Caenorhabditis elegans: one gene and its partners. The protein of the gene in region 1 interacts with the protein of each later gene in a pairwise test. Each region holds a gene or a part of one and is shown on either strand. Other genes may lie near its edges.

The links.
Region 2: the proteins of nhr-22 (region 1) and dmd-5 interact in a two-hybrid assay, tested with the Caenorhabditis elegans proteins (one large-scale study listed by BioGRID).
Region 3: the proteins of nhr-22 (region 1) and ceh-23 interact in a two-hybrid assay, tested with the Caenorhabditis elegans proteins (one large-scale study listed by BioGRID).

Annotation. Positions count from the first base shown.
Region 1 is NC_003280.10:6,444,622-6,451,781, reverse strand, and holds nhr-22 (Nuclear hormone receptor family member nhr-22), read left to right. Parts: upstream 1-1,989; 5' UTR 1,990-1,993; coding exon 1,994-2,338; intron 2,339-3,216; coding exon 3,217-3,379; intron 3,380-3,467; coding exon 3,468-3,599; intron 3,600-4,035; coding exon 4,036-4,433; intron 4,434-4,481; coding exon 4,482-4,678; intron 4,679-4,725; coding exon 4,726-4,857; intron 4,858-4,905; coding exon 4,906-5,021; intron 5,022-5,067; coding exon 5,068-5,219; intron 5,220-5,265; coding exon 5,266-5,360; intron 5,361-5,411; coding exon 5,412-5,421; 3' UTR 5,422-5,587; downstream 5,588-7,160. Other genes in the region: atg-16.2 (Autophagic-related protein 16.2), read left to right, coding at 1-57, 529-619; K06A1.2 (uncharacterized protein), read right to left, coding at 5,648-5,807, 5,852-5,916, 5,961-6,036, 6,089-6,165, 6,214-6,417, 6,465-6,632, 6,678-6,764, 6,805-6,912 and 1 more. UniProt on the Caenorhabditis elegans protein: Orphan nuclear receptor.
Region 2 is NC_003280.10:5,771,076-5,778,235, reverse strand, and holds dmd-5 (Doublesex- and mab-3-related transcription factor dmd-5), read left to right. Parts: upstream 1-4,015; 5' UTR 4,016-4,067; coding exon 4,068-4,206; intron 4,207-4,568; coding exon 4,569-4,733; intron 4,734-4,889; exon of another isoform or gene 4,890-5,004; intron 5,005-5,044; coding exon 5,045-5,137; intron 5,138-5,154; exon of another isoform or gene 5,155-5,349; intron 5,350-5,551; coding exon 5,552-5,773; intron 5,774-5,821; coding exon 5,822-6,045; 3' UTR 6,046-6,182; downstream 6,183-7,160. Other genes in the region: F10C1.1 (uncharacterized protein), read right to left, coding at 3,816-4,007; Intermediate filament protein ifb-1, read right to left, coding at 6,545-6,709. UniProt on the Caenorhabditis elegans protein: Transcription factor. Required for sex-specific synaptic pruning, probably acting downstream of sex-determining transformer protein tra-1.
Region 3 is NC_003281.10:7,836,383-7,843,542, forward strand, and holds ceh-23 (Homeobox protein ceh-23), read left to right. Parts: upstream 1-3,209; 5' UTR 3,210-3,211; coding exon 3,212-3,284; intron 3,285-3,524; coding exon 3,525-3,697; intron 3,698-3,750; coding exon 3,751-4,148; intron 4,149-4,711; coding exon 4,712-4,985; 3' UTR 4,986-5,109; downstream 5,110-7,160. Other genes in the region: ZK652.8 (uncharacterized protein), read right to left, coding at 6,412-6,448, 6,533-6,633, 6,828-6,940, 6,990-7,160. UniProt on the Caenorhabditis elegans protein: Probable transcription factor. Required for differentiation of AIY interneurons, acting downstream of LIM/homeobox protein ttx-3. Modulates gene expression, acting downstream of AMP kinase aak-2/AMPK signaling. Modulates lifespan.

The DNA of each region.
Region 1 (7,160 bases):
CATTTGGAATACAAAAACCACAAAGTTGGAAAAAGTTGTGAAAACTGCGAGATCAGAGTGAGTGAAATTAAGAAACGATATTACAAAAAAGTGTTTCAAAAATGTTTCAAAATTTTTTGTTAGAATTAATCAAAAATGTGATATTATAGAATATAGAATTTTTGTTACCATCATTAGCCAGACGCAAAAGTTAGCGATTTTAGTTCCAAAGGTACAGCACCTGCCCTCGACACGATATATTTCAGTTAATTGCGAAAAGGCGTGCGCCTTTAAAGAGTACTGCGGAATTTTAATTTCTAAATCTTTCGATAAAACTACACTTAAATAAAAACTTTGAAAAAATGTAAAAAAATATGGCAGCAACAAGCGTTTAAAGTTACAGTACTCTTAAAAGATGAATATGTATTTAATAAAAAATTATCGTTTCGAGATACCGTAATTTTGAATGAAAATCGAAAACTTGGGAAATTAAATCCGCTTCCAGAGTACAATGCCCCAATTCTGCTCTCAAAAATGTTTTTTTTTCAGTTCGGCTCAAATAATGTCTCTGGCATGGAATCCGTCAGGCCGAGGTCTTCTAGCTTGTGATCGTCAGAAGACTTGTACACTCTGGAGATGATCTTCAATGTATGAAATTGAATATAATTGTACAGAATCATCATCTGTGTTATAAATGTGCATATCCATTTTTAAAAAAATAGTTTTACCCGCGTTTTTCATGTTTTCTTTCAGATTTTTCATTATGAACATTCGTTTGAAATAGAAAAAAATTGTATGATATTTATACATTTTAATTTAAACCGGTAATCCTCAAAAAATGCCTGAATATTACAAATTCTGTGTTATCACCACCTATCCCTTGTATTCTATGAACATAAAATGCACATTTTCTTATCATTTCACCTGGTTGGCTGACTGACAGTCGTTTGGAAACATTCGAGTTTTCTTAAATTTTCTATAGTTTCTGATGCTAACCTATGAAAATCAGTTCAAAATGATGACAAGAATACAGGAAATTAATAATTTCTGTTCCCGCAGCATGATGATATTTTTTGCCGATGAATAGTCCTAATTCTTCGTCATTGAAAAAAATTTGCTCCTTTCGATCTGAATTTGAAAAAAGTTTATTAAAAAAAGTATATTTCAAATATTAATGATTTCTGATTATTCTGCATTGCCAGGAAAATATTTTCATATAAACTTGTGAAAAGATGTCAATTTCTGAAAACAATTCGGCCAGTTTTCTGAAGCAGTATTTTACATATCTTCCAGGGTTCAAAAGATTAGTACTCTCAATGAGTCGCAGACAGCTTAGTTGTTTTTTCTTTCGTATTAATATACTTACATTTTCTTTTATCTCTAATTCTCTTACATCCACCTTTTCCGCAATCTCTGCCACTGTCGGCGATCTCTTGTTCTCGCACGTTTCTCTCTAATTCTATAACGAACGTAAATCTTTATTCTCTCTATTATTTTTATATATATTTGTGTGAAATATTCAAAACTTGAGTATTTAAATTTTTTGAAAAACCATAAGTTCAATGTGATAATTTGAAATTTTCCCATCACGTTTTCGATTAGACAGAATGAAGTTTCCGTTCCAGTGACTATAAATAGGCGAAATTTAATTGAAAATAGTTTTGCATTATTTTCAAACCACAGACTTTTTATTCATACATATATTTGAAAATATTAATTCAGTGAATTGCAAATTTAAAACTCACATTTCTTTAAAATTAATGAATCAATTTTCTATCTCTTGCCGTAACAAATAAATAAATCCATATATTAATATCTTCTCCCCTTTGTCCAGCCAATTTCTCATCTCCTCCAATTAGCCTCTTCCCACCTTTCTCTCTTCTTCATTTTCCCCCAATTCTGTTCTTATCAGTACTAACCTTGTTCGGTCCTTTCTCTCTCTAACCTCTCTCTTCTCTTTTTCTTACTCTCTACCATTGCCGCACACCTCCATTCATTTTCACTTTAATCAAATATGTCTACGGACCTTCTCTATGAATATTTCTATCCACCTACCGATTTATTCAAAAATACTTTTGAAGACGTACCACCATCTCCTGAGTCTCTGGACGTTGGTGATTCGTTAGGATCATCTCCATCTTACGATCTTGGATTCCAACCATCATTCGATATTGACTTCTGCATTTGGAAAGAGGGATCTTCATCACCTCCACCGGAATCGAATCATCTCCCAGAGATTGTAAATAAAGCTTCAACATCTCCACGTGGAATGCCATCTCCATTAACTGACAGTCGAAGTTGTCATGTCTGTTCATCTCCCACTGCCAATACTCTACATTTTGGAGGTCGTTCTTGTAAGGTAAGCAATATGATCAAGAAAAAAATATTTCTCGTATCAATTATTAATTAGCACTACTCCGAAAAAATGAACATTTTTTGTTTTTACAAGTGTTGTACTTTCGTTGTTGTTGTACAATATACATTTTTTGTTTTCTGGATAACAATTGAATTTGCATCGGACATTATTACCCAGGCCCACGGTATCCTGCCTCAGCGCAACATATTTTTGTTAAATTCGAAACGTTGTGCGTCTTTGAAGAGTACTGTAATTTCAAACTTTTATCATATTTTTTATCATTCAAACTCGTAAAATCAACATTTCTAGACTTGAATTTTTGTTCTAAAAACACCGATAAACCGTTGGTTTCATTAGTGATAATTGTGAAAAAAGGTCCTAAAGTATTTTAAGGCGTAATAATATAACTATGCTTTGAAAATGTGCCAAAATTTGTAACATGCTCGCCACGTGTTTTTATTGTTATCCTGTGTTATCTAGAAGTGTATTGTAGTCAGGTATTTTCTTTTTCCGTCTGCGTATTTCGACGAAACATCACTTATTTTTGTGGCCATTTGTGGTATGTGTCTCACACTATTTGTTTTTGTAGTCTTAAGTGTAGCTAGAATGACAATAGAAGATCTTCATCTGATCGGATGTTTGAACACACCACAGTACAGTTCCTGTTTAGAAACTAGCTCCTTTTGACCAAGTTTTGTATGATAATCTTACTGAAAACCACGAACAAATAGAAAAAGTTGTTGATAACGTACATCACACTTTGCATGCTTTATGTTTAAATAAAGAGAAAATGAAAAGTACAATTTGCATCACTAATACCTCCGGAAACATGTTTCTCACAATTTAATTGGAATAAATTTAATAAATGAGCATATTTTCAGGCATGTGCAGCATTTTTCCGAAGAAGTGTTTCAATGTCAATGACTTACGAATGCATTGGCACTGGAGATGACACAAATCCGTGTAGAACCCATTACGAGCTCAGAATGATATGCCGTCACTGTCGGTTCATCAAATGTTTAGATGCCGGAATGCGCAGAGAACGTGAGTGATCATTGACAAGGTCATTTGTCACATGTTCAATTGGCCAAAAAGTCCGAGGTACAAAAAACAGTAATTTGTTGTTTTGCAGTGGTGCAAGCGAGAAAAGAAGAGACGAGAGTTGCAAAACGACGTTCCAAGGGATTGGTTGTATCGAAAAAGGAAGATGACGATGTTGAATCTTCGTATGATGAGTATGTAAATACATATACAAATGTTCAAGGTTAGTTTCTAATTTATTTCGAAAATATTTTTGAAGCCCTCGACTGGGAAATTTTTTAAACCCTCTCCTATGGTAATAAAATTCCTAAGTATAACAGTTTAACGTTTCAAAAAATTTTTTAAATTTTTTAGTTACCGTCAAAAGTGGGCAAAACTCAGTTTTCATCTATCACAGTTTTTGGAAGTTGACCAAAAAAAATATTTATCTACAAGTCCTTTTTTTTACAGCGTTTTAATTGTTTTAATTGGAAAAATTCCAGGGTTCCAACTTGTAACAATTTCTACAATTTTTTGAAAATTTGGCAATTCACCAAAACTGAGGTTTTTTAAACTCTTAATCTTTTTGGAAAGTTTTTATGAGATTCGGTTATGTTAGAGTATTATAAGTGTATCTATCCCGACTGACGATACTTTAATAATACCATTTGTTGTTTCAGATTCGAGCCCGAAAATGGAATCAGGGATTAATGAAATGACGATTCCTGAGTCATACCTTTCACCGGATCCTTCATCTTCTCAACCACTTGATATGACAGTAACACCTCCACCACTGCACCGTTCAACTCCATCCATACTTCTTACTCCAGCAACTGGTGACCGTATGCACTGTCAACGTGTGCTTTCCAATTCTCCTCCATTCGATATACACCAGGCAAGCACCAGCCATGCAGGATTTATTCAACATGTACAGTTCTACCCAGTCGTTGAAGTTGAAAATAAAATTTTCGAATTAGTTGATCATTATGTAAGAACAGAAGCTTCATTGAATGATCGAAGGAAAATAATGTACACGGATACTCAGATAAGAGATGTTTTCGATACAACTTGTGAATGTGTGAGTTTTCAATGCACCATATCCATTTCTCACAATATTCTCTTTCAGCCCTACGAAAATCATCAGCTGAAACCTTTCAACTATAAATCATTTTGCGGATTTGTAAAGCACGACTTTGTTATGATTCTTGATTACGTGAATCAATTTCCGGAGTTTCAAGCTTTACACAAAAATGACAAAAATGTGGTCTATCGAATGGCTTGCGCCGTAGATTCAATGCTTGCATCTGCCTATTATAGCTATAAGTGAGTATTTAATGTTCAAAAATTAGATTCAGTCAGTTTTTCTACAGAGTTGGAATAGAAAAAGAACGTCTAATACTTTTCAATGGTGACTATATCAATATGAATCCGATTCCAATAAGTGGAGATGAGCCAGGCGCGGGAACAGAGTTTCAAACCCCGCAAGAACATGAAAAGTACAAGTGAGTTTGCTAAACTTTTTTAAATCTCAGTAAATTGTTATCTTGCAGAACCCTAATGCCACTGAAGCTAAAACAATATTTCGATCTGGCAATTCCGTTCGCTCGACTAGAAGTCTCATTTGAAGAATACGTACTTCTGAAAGCTCTCATAATTTGGCAAATCAGTAAGTAAATAATATCTACAGTAAAGTTTTAAAATTCTCGTTTCAGGTAACTATCGGTTACTAGAGGAGGGACGAGCAATTTGTGCACGGCAACGAGACACAATAGTTCAAGCCTTGCATAAAGTAGTTGAAGAACGAGGTGATGAGGATCCAGCTATTCGAGTTGGTCAGCTTCTTCTGAGCATGAGCTATATAACGGTTGGTTCCATCATCAATTTGTTATGAAAAATTAAATGAGTTTCAGGAGCAAGTACAAGCAATGACAAACTCTTACCTTGTAATGACTTTCTTTGATGTTGTATCCTGTGATAGTATAATGTACGACTTACTATCTTTCAGGTAACAAAATTCTAATAATTTCAAAGTTTAAATGTTATCAAATTATTTCAGAGACGACTGAAACAACCATCGTGAAGGTTCTACTTCATTCATCTGACTTTTAACGACTATTAACTTACATAGCTTTATCGCGTAGCTTTTGTATTTAAAATTGTGACATTTTGTTTATATTCTGTGATTTTCTTTTTTTGCCATATTCGTTCAAACTCTCAATTCAGATCTTTCAAAACATGTGTAAAATTGAACTCATTTCAGTTGTATTGATATACATTTAATAATTAAAAAATTTATTCAACACTTGACACATGACTAGGGCTATAAGAAGTCACCGAATCATCCACATAAACCGGAAGAACGAAATATTGCCAATGCGATTGTGGAACCAAATATGGTTTGCTCCAAAGACGTTGCAAGTCACCCGTTGGTGGAGTCGAGTCAAGAGGAAACCTGAAATAGAATGGATTAGAGATTATTGAGAACTATGAATTCACCATTCAATAAGAATATTGTGATTCAACGTTGGAGATTCAGCTCTAGTACATTGCTCGACTTCTATCTGAAATTTCGACTGTTTTTGGTAGCTCTAGATGTAGTTTTCACCGAAATTTCTTTGCCGGGAGGAATCAAAAACTTCGATGGATACAACTTGTAGAAGCCAGTGGTTGACAACAGAGCTCTACAAAAAATGAACTGTATTTAAAATAACCAGAATAATTTTCGCTGCAGACCTCAACGCCAACCAATCATTGTTCCTATTGTTCTTCACATTCAATATAGACAATCCAAGCCGTGGGACATGGAATGGCTGAAAATAAAATAATGTTGCAATATATTTCACTTTAATCATTCTCACTCTCGGATGGATATATGTCATTTCATTAAACTCGCTCTCGATTCTCGTCTCACCAGATTGAGTACTCAGAATAGTTGGAGCCACCTGGCTTGGGGTCTCCTCGCTGATTCGTGGAATTGGATCAATATTAGGCTTCAATTTACTGAGCAGGTATGTTTGGATGACAAGCAACATATGATAAACCAAAATGAAGAAGTGTGACAGCTGAATCAGAAGTTTCGTTCAATGTTGGAATAAGGCTATCGGAATACCATAAACTGCCAAATTGCTCCATTTAGTCTACAATAGCCAGGTTCATGATCTTTGTGCCAGAGACAAACTGTAGAAAGAAAGCATTCATAAACAAATATTGGGACTGTAATCAGCTTGAAAATAGCAAGGAAGAGTGCACCAAACTTGTTGATATACTTTCGATCTTTCTGAAAATTAAAAGATATGGAATGGACTAGAATTAAAAAACTTACAACATAAATGAATAAAGAAAAATCGAAAATGAAGAATATCAAGGGAAATGAGAAATATAAAGATGGACCGATTCCAGCATCGAAAATCTAAATTAATTTGGTTGGCCTGTGATTACTGGCGTTTTACCTGATACAAGAAGTGCCGTGGTGTTGTGAAAACTCCTTTTGGATGTTTCATGCAAACTTTTCGAAATGGAAAGTATATGGTTACCAATGATAGAAGGAGGAATAGTGACTGAATAAATGTTTTCTGGAATAAACTATACATTAAATCCCAACCTTTGCCCATAAAATAGTCGTCATTCTACTCTCCTCTGGTATCACAATATTATATTTCGGTAAATATTTCACTGATTTCATATAGAATGTGACTAGCAGAAGAACCACACACGAGAGCCCAACATGACCAAAGACTAGCCACCAAACTTGGGACATTGTCCATAATTGTGTCAACTCGGCCATTTTTCGCTTCTCCGGAGCACA
Region 2 (7,160 bases), 680 kb from region 1:
TTTGTTGTCTAAACTTGTTCTTTTTAAGATACGTCAGTTTAAATATACGCAGTTTTTCGAGTTTAGGAAGTTTTGTGGACCACCGAGCCTTGGCTTGCACCTTTTGCTGGCAGGTATTATTTTATTGAGGTAAATTTAGAATGTGGCATTGTCTAGCTATTTAATTGTAAAAAACAACTTTTATAAATACTGTATAAAATAATAATGTATTGTCTCTAACAGGAATTGCATATGAGTATAACCTGTGTTGGTAATACACCTTCACTATTCTCCTTTGATAACTCATATCCTAATTGCCTTTGGTTTTTATTTCAAAAAGATTTTCAACTGGAAAAGTGTGGAGAAAGATTTCGGGCGTATTTCATCAGTTAAATTTATTTTGATTAAACTAAAGACATTTGAGATATACACTGTCAAAGTGATTTTTCACAAATTGATTAAAGCAAGATAATTAATTGCTGTCGCTATGGTAATTGAAAATATCAAAAGCCTTATATTTATTTCCTTATCCCTGTCAATGCCTTCCGGGATGCCATCTATTTGCCCTGTATATGTCCATTATGACCTAATACGTCCTTCTTCTCACAGTCTTGTTGTGAACACCTGTTCAGTGTTTACATAATGGGAGTTTGTTTCAAATATTGTGCAATTGGAAGATAATGAAGTGGTGTCAACAGACACTGTCGGTGGAATTCAGAAAAGAGGTGTGGAATCAACTGTATTCTGACACCTACTTCAATGGGATTACAGGTGCAGTCTTACGCGGATTATGGTATTGGATCGGGGTGTGAAAGAGTAACCGGAAAATAGAAAAGAAGACATTCACTTATTTTTCTGGAAAAAAAATTACCTAGAGGTATTCATATTGGGTTTTTCATTAAACCAGTTCATTTTAACAAAATAAAAATTCAAATAAAGAATCTGAAGTATATTTGTTAGTTAGTTTGAAAATTATCATTTTTCTTAATTAAAAAAAATCTCAAAATAATTTTCTTTATTGAATTGTGTATGAGCAGAAAATTGGTGCGTATTTCTGAGACTTATATAAAAATGTAGAAAATTGATTGTTAACTAATTAAGCAGTTGAAAATTTATTTTGAAATTTCCTTGTTTCCAATATGTGATTGCTCGAATGTTTAAAATTTGGAAAAATGCGGTTCTGGCAAAAAATAAACTTCAGACATTTCAACTTGTAAACCTGCTCGCGGAATTGGCCGACTTGGCTTAAAACAAAGGAATTTATCTGTTAACTTTTGGTTCGTAACAAAGAATAAATTACTTTTTTTTTTCATTTATTTTCCTAGAATCCACGATTTGAACCGGAATATTCAAGACCCCCAGGTCCTTAACTTCTTTTTTCCCTGAACATATTTTGTAAATCATATTTGACAGAGACATATTACATTCACAACCTTTGCCTCTTGAGTTGAAATCGAAAACAATTATTGTGAAGAGCCGAAAATGCACACAGATGCTCTCAACACCTTCAGTGGCTTCTTCAATTTCTTTTCAACAAATCATCATCATCGTTTACATAAATATGTATTTATATTCATCCCATCATTTTCTCCATTGAGCATATTGAGCACAAAAGCATCACAATGCTTCTTGTTTACAGTAATCGCGTGAAGAGGATAGATGAAACTAAGGGAAGAGCTAGTACACATTAGTAGAGACTAATATGTCACACCTGCAAAACAATCTTACTGTAGAATTAGGATATAAAGTGTTTCTTAATACCAGGAAGCAAAGAAAACATCTGCGTTGAGTGCACTGGGTGGCAAAATGTTTTTAGATGATGAATAAATGAAATCAGTTTATTAAATGTTGCATGTTTTTTCGAAATTTTATCACATGACTGAAAAACAATTGAAGTTGAAACAGATGAAAACGCTGTGATATTGTTAGTAGAGTAAATTTTCTCGCAAGTTTATCTAACTTTTTCTTAAATTCCTTGCGCATTTTCACAATTTTTTCGACCTTCACGGTTTTCCAACTTTCTCATGGAGTTCACCAGAAAATGAAGATGTGCATGAAAACACTGAAACAAAATACTGAGTTAGTGAGTTGTAATAGTGAGTTGTAAAACTGATTATTGACGGCTTCTAATAAAAATGGTACACGATCAAGTGGATTCAAAAATGTTCACAAAAAGCCTAGTTTCATAGGACTTTCTCAAAAATTTTGTATGCCGATATAATTTTGAAAGAAGTCGTTGACAATTTAGGTTATTTGAACCATTTTGCGTATATTATAGGAAAAAGGTTAGAAAAGTTACTCTTCAAGATATTCAAAGTCAGAGTTCAAATGATATTCGGGATGTGAATTTCTCAAATTAATCGATGTCGGGTGCTCATTCAGAGCAATGTTTTCAAAATTTTCGTTATTCAAAGTCTCAACGACGACTTTCCCTGGCGAGCTCACCAATGAACAATTAATCTTATTCAATGTTTTTACAGTTAATGTTCCAGACAATTTCAGCTGTTCAGTAGAATTCAGACAGGAAACAGGTTCATTTTTACACGAGGTGTCTACGTTTTCTGATAGATCTGCATAGGTTATTATAACGTTTTGGAGTGTGCCAGAGTGTATCTGTTATCTCCAGAATTCATTGGTAATTAAGTTAAATTTTGCACCAAACCAGGAAATTTGTGGTTCTTATGTATCTGTTCTTGGACGTTAAATTCGCGATCACTACTTCGAAAATGTACGCTCAACCCCATGCTTACAAATTTTACTTGAGCTCTCTTGTAATACACTTGTTCAGAAGTACACCCGTTCTCTTCTCTATCACAGATTACCTATTTTCATATTTAATGTGTAAAAGGCCATGCCGAAATCCAATCAAAACACAAGCATGAGCTTTTGCATTCGCAAATTCTAATTACAAGGGGGTGTCCACAACCAACACTCTTCTCCATATGTTATGATTATTGTTGTTAGCATACCCTTCCTTAGCCTCTTTAATACGTTTTGCGGTAATTTAAATTAGCATCTCAATCTCTACTAGTTATTTGTCATGATACCTTGTGATTATTACGCGGTTAGGCCCGATGCTTTTGTGGCAAACTTGTAATTATTCTGATGTTTAGAGAGCACACGATTTCAAATTGCAGCCTCTAAAATTGGTGTGTACGCGAATCTAGTAAGATGTAAACTTTATTGAAAACACTTTCAATTTTATTCTAAGAATTTCTTGTTGTGGTGGTTGGCAGGTGATTGATGGCTCGTGATTTGGCATATGGTGATGATATTGATTCCATAACTTCCATTCAAATCTTGAGAGAAGTTGCGCTACTTGCAGCAGGATAGGAATGTGTTCACATTTTTTGAACAAAATTAAAGTTTCAATGTTTTGTGGGTACAGTTTTTGAAAATGCATATCTCCAAGCGTCACCATTTTTCAACTCCGGAATTTTGAAATATGGCAACCATGGCCTAAAACAAAATGCAGGTCAAGTGGCTTATTTGATTTGATAGTCCCTACTCACTATCAGAAACTCGCCACACCTTCTCAAGAAAGGCTAGAAGCTTTTAACCAAGTTTAGCCAACTTTCGGTAGTTTTTCAGTGCTCATTTTTGGGATCATCCAAAATTTAACCAGCTTTACCTAACTTTTGCAACTTTTGCGATAACTTGCTAAAGTTGGTTGAAACGTTGCGACATACTGTCGAGTTATAGGCGATTAAGCAAAGAGCAGTTTATCCAGTTTTTTTCGATTTAAAACTATTTGATTACCGTATATTTTCAACATTCCTAAATATAGTGCCTTGTTATACACCCACTTGATTATTACCAAATTACTCAATGTTTTCTCACAGTCTCTTATTTTTTCTTTTCCTTCTACTACTATCTCTGGATATATCTGTTTCATTTGATCCTACAGTAACCCCTCTTTCCCCGACACCCTCTTCACAAAGGGTGGAGCTTCTTCCGGTTGGTGGTCCGCGCGAGCACTGATCGAAGAGCAAAAGGGGTGGGACTTGAGCATTCCTTTTGGGAACCATTACCTCTCATTCTGATATTATAACATTTCACCTTATTCACAACAAAATATTTTAAACAGAATGCCTGTTTCTCCGTCGTCAGTATCTGTGCTACCGCCAACTAGCCTCGAACAGATTCTTCGAATTCGTGCAGAGAGGAATCAAAGGACTCCGAAATGCGCGAGATGTCGGAATCACGGAACTACTTCTGCATTGAAAGGTTCGTATTTTAATATTCCATCAAAACAATTAACCATATTCATCAGTCTCATAGAATAAAAAATAAAAACCGAGATTCAAGCTGTCAAATTAAGCAAGACTACCAGAAAAATCATTTTGTTTAATCCTTAATCGAAGTACAAAATTTTTTTCAAGTGCATGTAATAGTTCCAGTAAAGCTTACTTCAAAATATAAGGGGACAATAACACTCGATGCTCCGGCTTCTGTTAAAACCATAAAATAAGTTGCTCTATAAGAACTTTCAATTTTTGGAAACACATCACCGATCTTGCCATCTTTGCGTGATTTGTGCTCTCGTGGAAAATCTAGAATTTAAATGTAATATTCCATAAACTTTCCAGGTCACAAACGTTACTGTCAATGGAAGGATTGTATGTGTGCAAAGTGCACATTAATTGCCGAAAGACAACGAGTTATGGCTGCTCAGGTTGCTCTTCGTCGTCAGCAATCTCAGGAAGAAAGAGACGCAAGAGATTTGGAAGTACTTCTGGGTTCTGCTGGAAATGGTAAGTCAGCTTATTTAAATATTCGGGGATTAAGCTGTGGAATGCTGGTGCTGAATCAGTGCATGTGTTTTTCCCGATCAAGTATTTCCGGTCATTTTTCATTCAAGTTGTGTCTTGAACAAGCTTCCCGCTGTGCTCGAGGTGCTAGACTAACTATTGGGTAACCTGACACTAATATGACCTATACTTGTTACAATACTAATAGTTCATTAGGGTCATCTTTGTATGCTCACACACCTTCTACAATGACACATTGTTCTCTTTTTTTATAGAATAACACGCTAACTTTTTATTTAATTTCTATTTTTTAGCGAATGATCTCCTCGATATTCTTCGTCTCGATGCCGGTGAACATCACGGGAAAAACCACGCTTCTCCGACGACCAACAACAATAATAATACTGGTGAGTCGACATGACAGCCTGTTCGAGACAGAGAAATGAGAGTGCGCTCTCTTCTTCCCGCAGTAATGTGAAGGCTACGGAGCGCCGCGTCGAATGGCCAGCACGATGGCCGAGTGGTTAAGGCGTTGGACTTAAGTTCCAATGGTGGATAACACCTCGTGGGTTCGAACCCCACTCGTGCTAAACTTTTTGCGTATTCGGAAACAGGTGCACTTTTACCCCATCTCCATAATCCCCGTACCTGGTTGCGTAAGTCAATTAGCTAGAGAGCACTGTAAGCTTTACGAGAAGCAGATGCATTTGAGAGGGATAAGCTATTCACAATATTGATGGGATTAATCTAGATTAGCACTTTACAAGTCAATTGCTCTCATTTAAAAGATTAACCTTAACTAACCTTGCACTACCTTTCAGAAGAAAAATACGAAGACTCACAGGGACAACGGAGTTCACCAAGCTCTCCAACAGGTTCTGAAACTGTTGTAAGCACTTCTTCCCCACCTGAGCTCTCATCTGAATCAACACCAAATACCAGTGGCTCAGTGATTCCAACAAGTCCAGTTTTCAAACCAAATGGATACTCTTCAATGCCAATGTTCAATCCTGTGTATGGAAGACCATTCATGAGATTTCCGAGTAAGAGAGCTTATTCAATATTATTTCGTAAATTAAACTTATTTTCAGTGTTTTCAGTGATGCCGCATTTCTTCGGAACTCCATCAATGTCAGATTTCGCATCTGCTGCGAGCCTCGCAGCTCCACCAGCGTTCTTCTCAGCCCAGCCAACAATTGCCACGTCATCACCGAGCACAATTTTCCCACAAACTGCTCCATTGGATTACAGTCATCGTTTAATGAAAAATGAGGAAGCCGAAGAAGAATACCGAGAAAATGATAAAACATTTTGAGAAATTGAATATTTTTTCTTATCGTCAGAATCAGAGTTCCAATACTTTGTATATTTTTATATGGTCACATTTAAAATTGTATTTATGATTTGTCTTCAATTAAAAAAAACTAAACTGAATAAAAAATCTTATTAAAATTGAAAAAGAAGTAGAAAACATTGAATAGAAAGATTTTTCGGTGGAAAATGAGCGGGGGGAAACACTTGAAGTTTGAACGGGAAAAGCAGTGTATTATGAAAAGAATTGCAAACGTTTTTGTTCTTTTTTTGATGTTTTTTAAAATGAATTTCAGATTAGCGATTTTAAGTGAAGAGTCTTAAGCAAATCAATTCAATATTTTGGTCAGTTTTAGGCAGTTTCAATGAATCAATTTAAAGAAAAAATGTCGAGAAGGTCTATCATCAAGAATAATAAGAAAATTATGGACAGAAACTAGAGAACTTGAGTGATTTTGGGGAGTTGTTTAAAAGAGAAAAAGTTGTTTAAAAATAATGAGAGCTTATTGTCCGGATTGGATGGTCTTCTGGGTGTGTGTTGCACGCTCCTCTCCATCCTTGTTCACCAATGACGTCACAACATTGGCTCCGATTCCCCAGGTGTTCTCTCCATCGAAGACAAGAGACTCTGGTGGGTTGTTGATGCCTCCTTGGTCACGGGCGTAGATCTGGAAATTTATTGGAATTGGAATATTCTCTTTTCGAAATTATGTAGATTAGTTTCTCAGCAAATGCGAGAAACCCTTAGACTAACCCGAAACGATTAAATTTCATAATGAGACCTCTCAGAAAATGTTTCCAAATTTCTTATGGTGGCTCAAAACTTGGGGAAAACATTTTCAAATTTCTAAAACCTGTAACTCTGATAAAGAGCATTAGAGAAATAACAACTGATTTTCCGATATTGCTACATGGACAATCTCACAAAATTTCAGATTTTAGCAAAATTTGGCCATTCCCTTTCAAAATTTTTTTTTTGGAAATTTTCAGGTGAAAGTACGTTTTTAACGGGCTTCAGACTATGTTGGCTGGGTTTCTCAAAAATATAGTGGCAGACTAAAAAAATACTAAGAATATTTACATAGCTACACACTTTTTTCTAAAACAATGATAAAAATA
Region 3 (7,160 bases), on another chromosome or scaffold:
TTCCATAGAAATCTCACAAACTTGGCATATAATTAGCGCAATTTTTTCAGGATACTGGACTCTTACTATTAGTATTTTGACTGTTCCCATTCATTCTAGTCCGAATTTATTAAGAGTGGATTTACATACATAGAACTTTGCCTACGTGCCTGGGAGTTTCTATTAAATAATTTTAAAGAAGTTCGCCGCATTCTAGAGCAGCCTGACAGTTCTCAAATAAAGCTTTGAAAATATTTTTCCGACGAACAGTTTCCGAACTTTTCAATTTTCCAAAGATACATTTTTCTAAAAAACACCCGAATTATTTGTTCATTAAAACTAATTATTTCGTCACTCGTAATATGAATAAATGGAGTAAAATTAGAGAAAAAAACAGGTGAATGTTCGTAGTTTTTCCTTTAGTAAGCCATGATCTCATAGGTCTCAATCGTAATATTGGATTGAATCAGAAAATTATTCAGTTACTAGTGTGAGAGTGTGTTTTTATTTGGGTGTGTGTATTTAGACATAAAAGTAGTGGCGGCAGGTGGAAAATTGGGATTTGAGAGCAAAAATCTAGATGAAGAAAAAATTATGTTTGCAAGCACACTTTGTTGGAAAAATTCGATTAGGTCTTGATCTACTAGAGCGGAGAAAAGATTTGATAATAAATTAGGCGTTTAAAAACTTTTTGCGTAATATCTACGTAGGTTAAAAAGAATTTAATCAAAAAATGAAATGCCACCAAAGATTGAGAAGAGTTTAGAATTTTATAAAAAATGGCTTTCACACAAGTTTCGTAGAAAAAATTGAAAAAAAAACTGTGGTATTCGGAAAAAAGAACCCAAAATCAACATGAAAATACTCAAAAAATGTCCCCACCGAAAAATTCTATAGTTTATAATATACATTTTAAAATCAAAAATAAATATTAAAGTATTCTTTTTAAAAAAACTTGCATTGCCGGCAATTGCCTAATATAAGGTAATTGTTGAAAAACCCAAAAAAATCTGAAAAACTGACGGAAATTTGTTATTCAATCGCGAATTGTTCGAGGTTCTTAAAACAATATTTTCGAATCAATCAGATATTTTTACATTTACAGAAAATTATCATACCAAAGTGGGCACTTTTGTGGATTTGCCACACCCCTGGTTTTGAATTCAAATATAAAAAACCAATATTTGATGGTTTTACAACTTTGAAACTTAAATCTGAATTTTAAGGATTCATGCATATGTACAGTACATAGCTCATTGCACATTTACACGTCATCATTTCGAATAATTTTTAATCCTTTCAGATCATCCAATTCTTTATCCACTTGTGACTTTTTTTCCCAATCACGTCAAAAAAGTTTTAAGACGCTCCAACTAATTATCGAATCCACTCGGCTCAATCCGGATAATCCTCTCACTCCCCCCGCCCAAAGCGATTATTCGATGAACAAATGATCTTTATCACTATAATCATCGTCAAAGCTATCATCATCAGAAGGTGATAAACTACATAGCTCCGCCTTTTCCGTTTTTAAGCATCTACGCTTTTTTTGCTAGAAAAGGCTAAGAGGGCGGGCTCTCCTTAAAAATTGAGGATATATAAAAGATTGTTTTCTAAAGCTGTGATGTGATCAAATAGTTATGATTGGGTGCATTTTTTGTGTCATAATCTTTGAAAATATTTGTATTTTTTATTTGTTTAGATATTTTCCAATTTCTAGCTCCGACCTTCTGATTTAAATGAAACATGTGACCTGCGAAGAATTTGAATCAGAAGTTTCATAATTCCGGCTTCGGGTCAGAAAACCCACAAATCATATTCTTAGTTTTTTTTGAAGGAAAGTGGTAGGTATTTAATGTTTCTGTATTGATTCTCAGAAAGTTAGTTACATCAGGTTTAGGTACCTACATAATTGTTCAAAATATGATAGTGGCAAGTTTTTAACATGTGTTTCAGTGGAGAAAAGTATGAATTCTTAGAAATTGCATTAAAAATAACAAACCTTGAGATACCATAGTTATGTTAACCTTCAAAACAAGTACCGTATTTCCACTAGTAGTAATGCACTTTACTCTTAAACTTTGGCAGCGTTTGTCGTAGTTTTTGTTCGTTCTATCGAAAAATTGTCAACTGATAAATAATTTGTTTGATTTTTTTTTCTATAGATTCGCAGTTATCTTACAAACGAACAGTGGTACAATCTTTTAAATTTAAGCAGTTTCAAGTGTTTTAATTTTTTGTGGTATTAGACGTTATTAAGAGCAATTTATGTTCATGGCTATTCCCATAAAACCTCAAAATTAGTTTCATTTTTGATCTTCTTTTTTCCAAACATTGAGACTTCCTTGAAAATGACAAATAATTGGCTTCCATTTGCATGTAAAATATGTATAACGTTCGATCATATTTAAACTTTAAAGCACATTAGCCTGTGAGCTTTGATATCTGACTAACAGAAATATGTTAGACACAAAATTCGATTGCTCTCAATTTTATATTTGAAACTTTCGAAATTTTCACCAATTAAAAATTTTACACTTAAAACTCAAATTGTTGAAAATAATCTAATAGGTTGTAGTAAATTGGAGCAGCTGCAGAAATCGAGAAGGAAAATTAAGTTTCAGATTTTTATTTTAAATTCTCACTTTTTCATTTCTGATATGCAAAAATGTGATTAAATAAAATCCTCCAGACATTCATTATCTACGTCTTCCCATCTGATTCCATTCATCTTTCATAATCCGATTAGCAATTTCAACATTTCCTGGAAACACTGATCTTTAAAAATTAATCCTTTTCATTTTTGTTTCGTCTGACTCATTTAATAATATCTACACTGATATACCTGCACAACACACTGACTACTATTATTACTTTTACTACTACTATGACTACTATAATCTACTAATGAGTGGTAAATTTTGAGCTTTGATCATTCGTTCACATCCCTTGGTAATTGGAGAGAAGCAGTGTATTTTCATATTCCCAGACTCACACGTTTTTGAATTTGTCTGCAATAGTGAAAACTTTAGTTTCTATAATTTACCATTCAGGGGTATCAGCATTTTATTGCACCCAGTAATTTTAGATAATTTATGGTTTGAATCTGTTTTTGTCCAACTTGATCTGATAAACTTAGAACAGTAAGTTCTACAATTGCCAAACTTTTAATTTTTTACCTCTTTACATTTTTCAACATTTTTACATTTTTTGATTAATCTTTATTTTCTAGATGGACACCCATCTTCCATTCCAAACTTTGCCAGTTTCAACGCCGCTGCCTGTGTCTTCATCATCTCTAACAGGTAACATCAAATCCATTTTGAAATGTGCTCTTACACAAAGCTCCTTAATATCCAAATCGCATTCCCCCACACCATTTAATGATTTCATGACTGAAAACCATCTGTCAAACACGACAATCATCCGATTTTCATTGCTGATAAGCTGATTTCGGGAATGATGATGATAAGATTTGTTAGACTTATTCAAAAATCGAGAAAGATGAGAAGCTGTATGGCTGACATATCATTTTATGAATTCAGACGTTCTTCAAACAATTGCTGCTTTACAAGCCTGTCCCACATCCTGTATACCTTCAACATCAACTGGAATGCTTTCACCGAATCTTCCCTTCTCGGCTACAATTCCACGTGTCAACTTGTTCCCACCATCACAACCAGCCAATTCTTTAATACTGCCAACAATTCCAGCACAGGTGAATGATTTTCGTATTTTCAAAAAACCTCTTAACCCCTTTTGTATTTTCAGCCTTTTATTCCAAATCCATCTCTCCTGCAAGCCAATCCATCTGCTGTCGAAGCTCTTGCAAATGCACTTTTTGCAACAACAAGCCGTCGGGCTTCTTGCCCAGAACCTCCTGCATCCTCTCAAGCAACCGTCACGCTTCAAGTCCCATCTACGGGTTCTCCAGAACGACGACGTTATTCAGAAACAAATATGGAGGTTCTGCTACGTGAACAACTTGCACAATTGATGCCTCCAACCTCTCAACTACCCGGAATGCCTGGATGTTATTATCAACATGTTCCAGCTGCTGGAACTTCAGGAATTCAAGGATCATTAGATGCGGCGTTAATGGGAGCTGTTCCCTTGGCTATGAATAGTATGGCACATAGTCGGAGAGCAGCAAATCATAGAAAAGCAAGGTAAGGAGAATAAACCAGCAAAATGACACATCTTTGTAGCATACTCTATCAACTTTTTATCAATCTTTAGCACAAAATCTGCAGCTTTTCAGAAAAGAGCTTTTTGACAAATTTTCATTTACATTTCTTTGAAGCTGTGGCGTTTTTTTTCGAGAAGAAGAGCACAATATACTTGTATACTGGCTTCTCGCCTCAAAAATTGAACAAACCAGTTTCAGAAAACTTTCATAAAAAAAGTCAGAAAAATTGTCAACGAATCATAGAACCATCAGGTGACTCATTTAAGATTTTATAAGCTTTATCAAATCCTTTGACGAAATAAACATTTACTTCATTTCCGAAAGGAAGTTTTTTGGCCTCTGACTTGAAGTTTTTAAAAATATAATTTATTTATCTTTAGAAATTCTTAATCAATCTAAAATATAACTTTGACGCAAAACGAAGTTCGTGGGATAATTCATACGTGCCGAATTGAAAAGAAATTGTTGGTTCCCACAGTAAGAAGCTGAAGAAGATTGTTTTAAGATTCTAAACTAAAGATCAAACAAATTCAAAGTTTTCAGAACAATCTACGGTACAACACAAACTCAACAACTGGAAGATATGTTTAAAGGACAAATGTACGTAGTCGGAGCAGAACGAGAAAATCTTGCTCAACGCCTTGGCCTATCACCTTCTCAAGTTAGAATTTGGTTTCAAAACCGGAGAAGCAAACATCGTAGGAAACAACAAGAGGAGCAACAGAGCACGACGTTAGAAGAAAAATCTGAAGAAATTGGAAAAGATGAAGAGGAAGATGATGAAGAAGATGAAGATGATGTAAAAGTTCTGAATTAATTTAATTTTTTTTTTCGTGTTTACTTGTTTATTTCCTGCCATATTCTGTTTTAGAAAATAATTAGAAAAAATGTGTATATTCTTGATTATAAAGCATTAAACAAATAAAGTTTTATGTGAACTTACTTGATAGGTTACGTTATCAGGAAATGGTTCGGTGCTTCAAAGAAAATGTGAAATCTTACAAGAAAGCTTAGCGAATGGCTTCAATTTTTTCTAACTCAATAAATAATCAATATTTTACAAAAAAAGTATTGCGAACAAGAGGTAAAATATTTCTGATCACTTTGTTAGTTGAACATTTGGTTTTTAGACGTGTATTTTTCCAGATACGCCAGTTTGAAGATACGCAATTTAGCGAGTCCTTGAAGTTTTGTGGATATATTTAATTTTGCATACGACCAACTTTTGAAAAAAAAACAGTAAATTCCACTGAACAAACCGTAATTTTCCACATTGAACAACTTATAAATAAAGTCTGTGTGATAAGTTGCCAAAAATTGTGTGTTTAATCGAAATTTCTGATAAAATTCAAGTTATGCCACCAACCAAAAATTGGTTTGAGAAACATCTTGTCTTTGGAATTCTACATTTCAACAAATTTTAAAAATTATACAGATTCTCTTAGACAAGTGTTTTAGAAAAAAATAGCTTTCAATTGCCTCTTGGACGGTTCAAAGTGACAATTTGAGTGTAAAATTTTCAAGTTTTAGCTCCATGTTCCGCCATGATTTTGCCATTTCATGATGGTTTAAAAACCAAAAAAAAACCAACTGAACATTTATTGACTGATTTTGAGTAATATTTTAGAAGAGAATGAAAAAGAAATTAAAAATATGAGAAAGAAAATTTGCTGTGAGGATTTTTGAAAATAAAAAAAGAAACAAAACGGGGAGACTGAAAGATGTCTGGGTCTTCTGAAACATAAGAAAGTATGAGCCGAGAAGAGATGACAAAAATTGGAAACAAACCTCAAGCCATGTATATATTTTAATGAAAGACAGGGACAGGGAAAAATGGGATTAAGTTTAATTGAATGAAGAAAAAACAAACAAAAAAAATAAAAAAGAAAGAGAAGATCTCGTAGATTTCTGGCCTAAAACAGGAAAAGTGGATAAAAAAGGAAGTGGCCAACACTATATCACTATTGAAACAACGGAATGGGAAACCAGCTACTTTTACAGGACGCGGTGGTGGAAGAGTTTAAGCACGGGGATACTAGTTACAGAATTGGAATATGTTGAGTTGATTTGAATATTTTTTAAACATTGATCTAGGTTTAATTTTAAAAAAACATTATAATCAACTATGTTATCCAATTATTCGAAGAACACAGAACAAAGGACTTTGATTTTTGGAACGAGGATAAGTTGAGAAGACGTGGAATGCCTCGAATGGTCATGAAGAAGGATTGCTGCAGTAGATATTACTTGCACGGATTGTTTTGCAGGAATTTCTTCCATCTGCAACAAAACTATTCTACATATGTACATAAAAAGCCAAGCATTTTGATTAATGTAAAATTAATGTAGATTTCGGGCACCTACCTGATTTCATGACGAAGCTCCATTCTTTCGATATCAATGCACGCCAATTGAACATAGGTCTCGTTTTTCTTCACTTCAGATCCTAATCGAATCATTTGGCACTAAAATTATATTAAGTTTCTTCTAGGCGTATACAGTTGGAATCAAATACTGCTTCATTTTGGATACTAATGAACAAATATTTCAGCTACCGAATGTTCCATCCGGTTCCACCCGGCAGCTTTCTTATATCATTTAGTATTTTGGAATTTTACGATTTTTTCGTTTATAAGTCAGTACCCAATGTTTAACTCACATCAATATCAACTCGCTTATCGTGTACATCGTGAAGCTCATTGAGCCAAATCCTGGTCTGTGTTTCCACGTTTTCAATTTCCTTTGACAACTCTTCAAGTTCTTTTTGTTGACCTTTAAATTACTTTTTTAGTCTTATTCCTTCTACAGCTTAAACCCTTACCATTTGCCTTTGCTTCATCCAAAAGCCCTCGAATCTTCTTGTGCTTTTCCTTCAACTCTCCACCGGTAGCCGTCAAAATTGTCATCTGTGCCTCGTTCTGTTTCAGGTCCAAGGAGCAAGCCTCGAGTTGAGCACACAGTTTCTCGTGGCGTACCCAGCTTTTTTTCATTT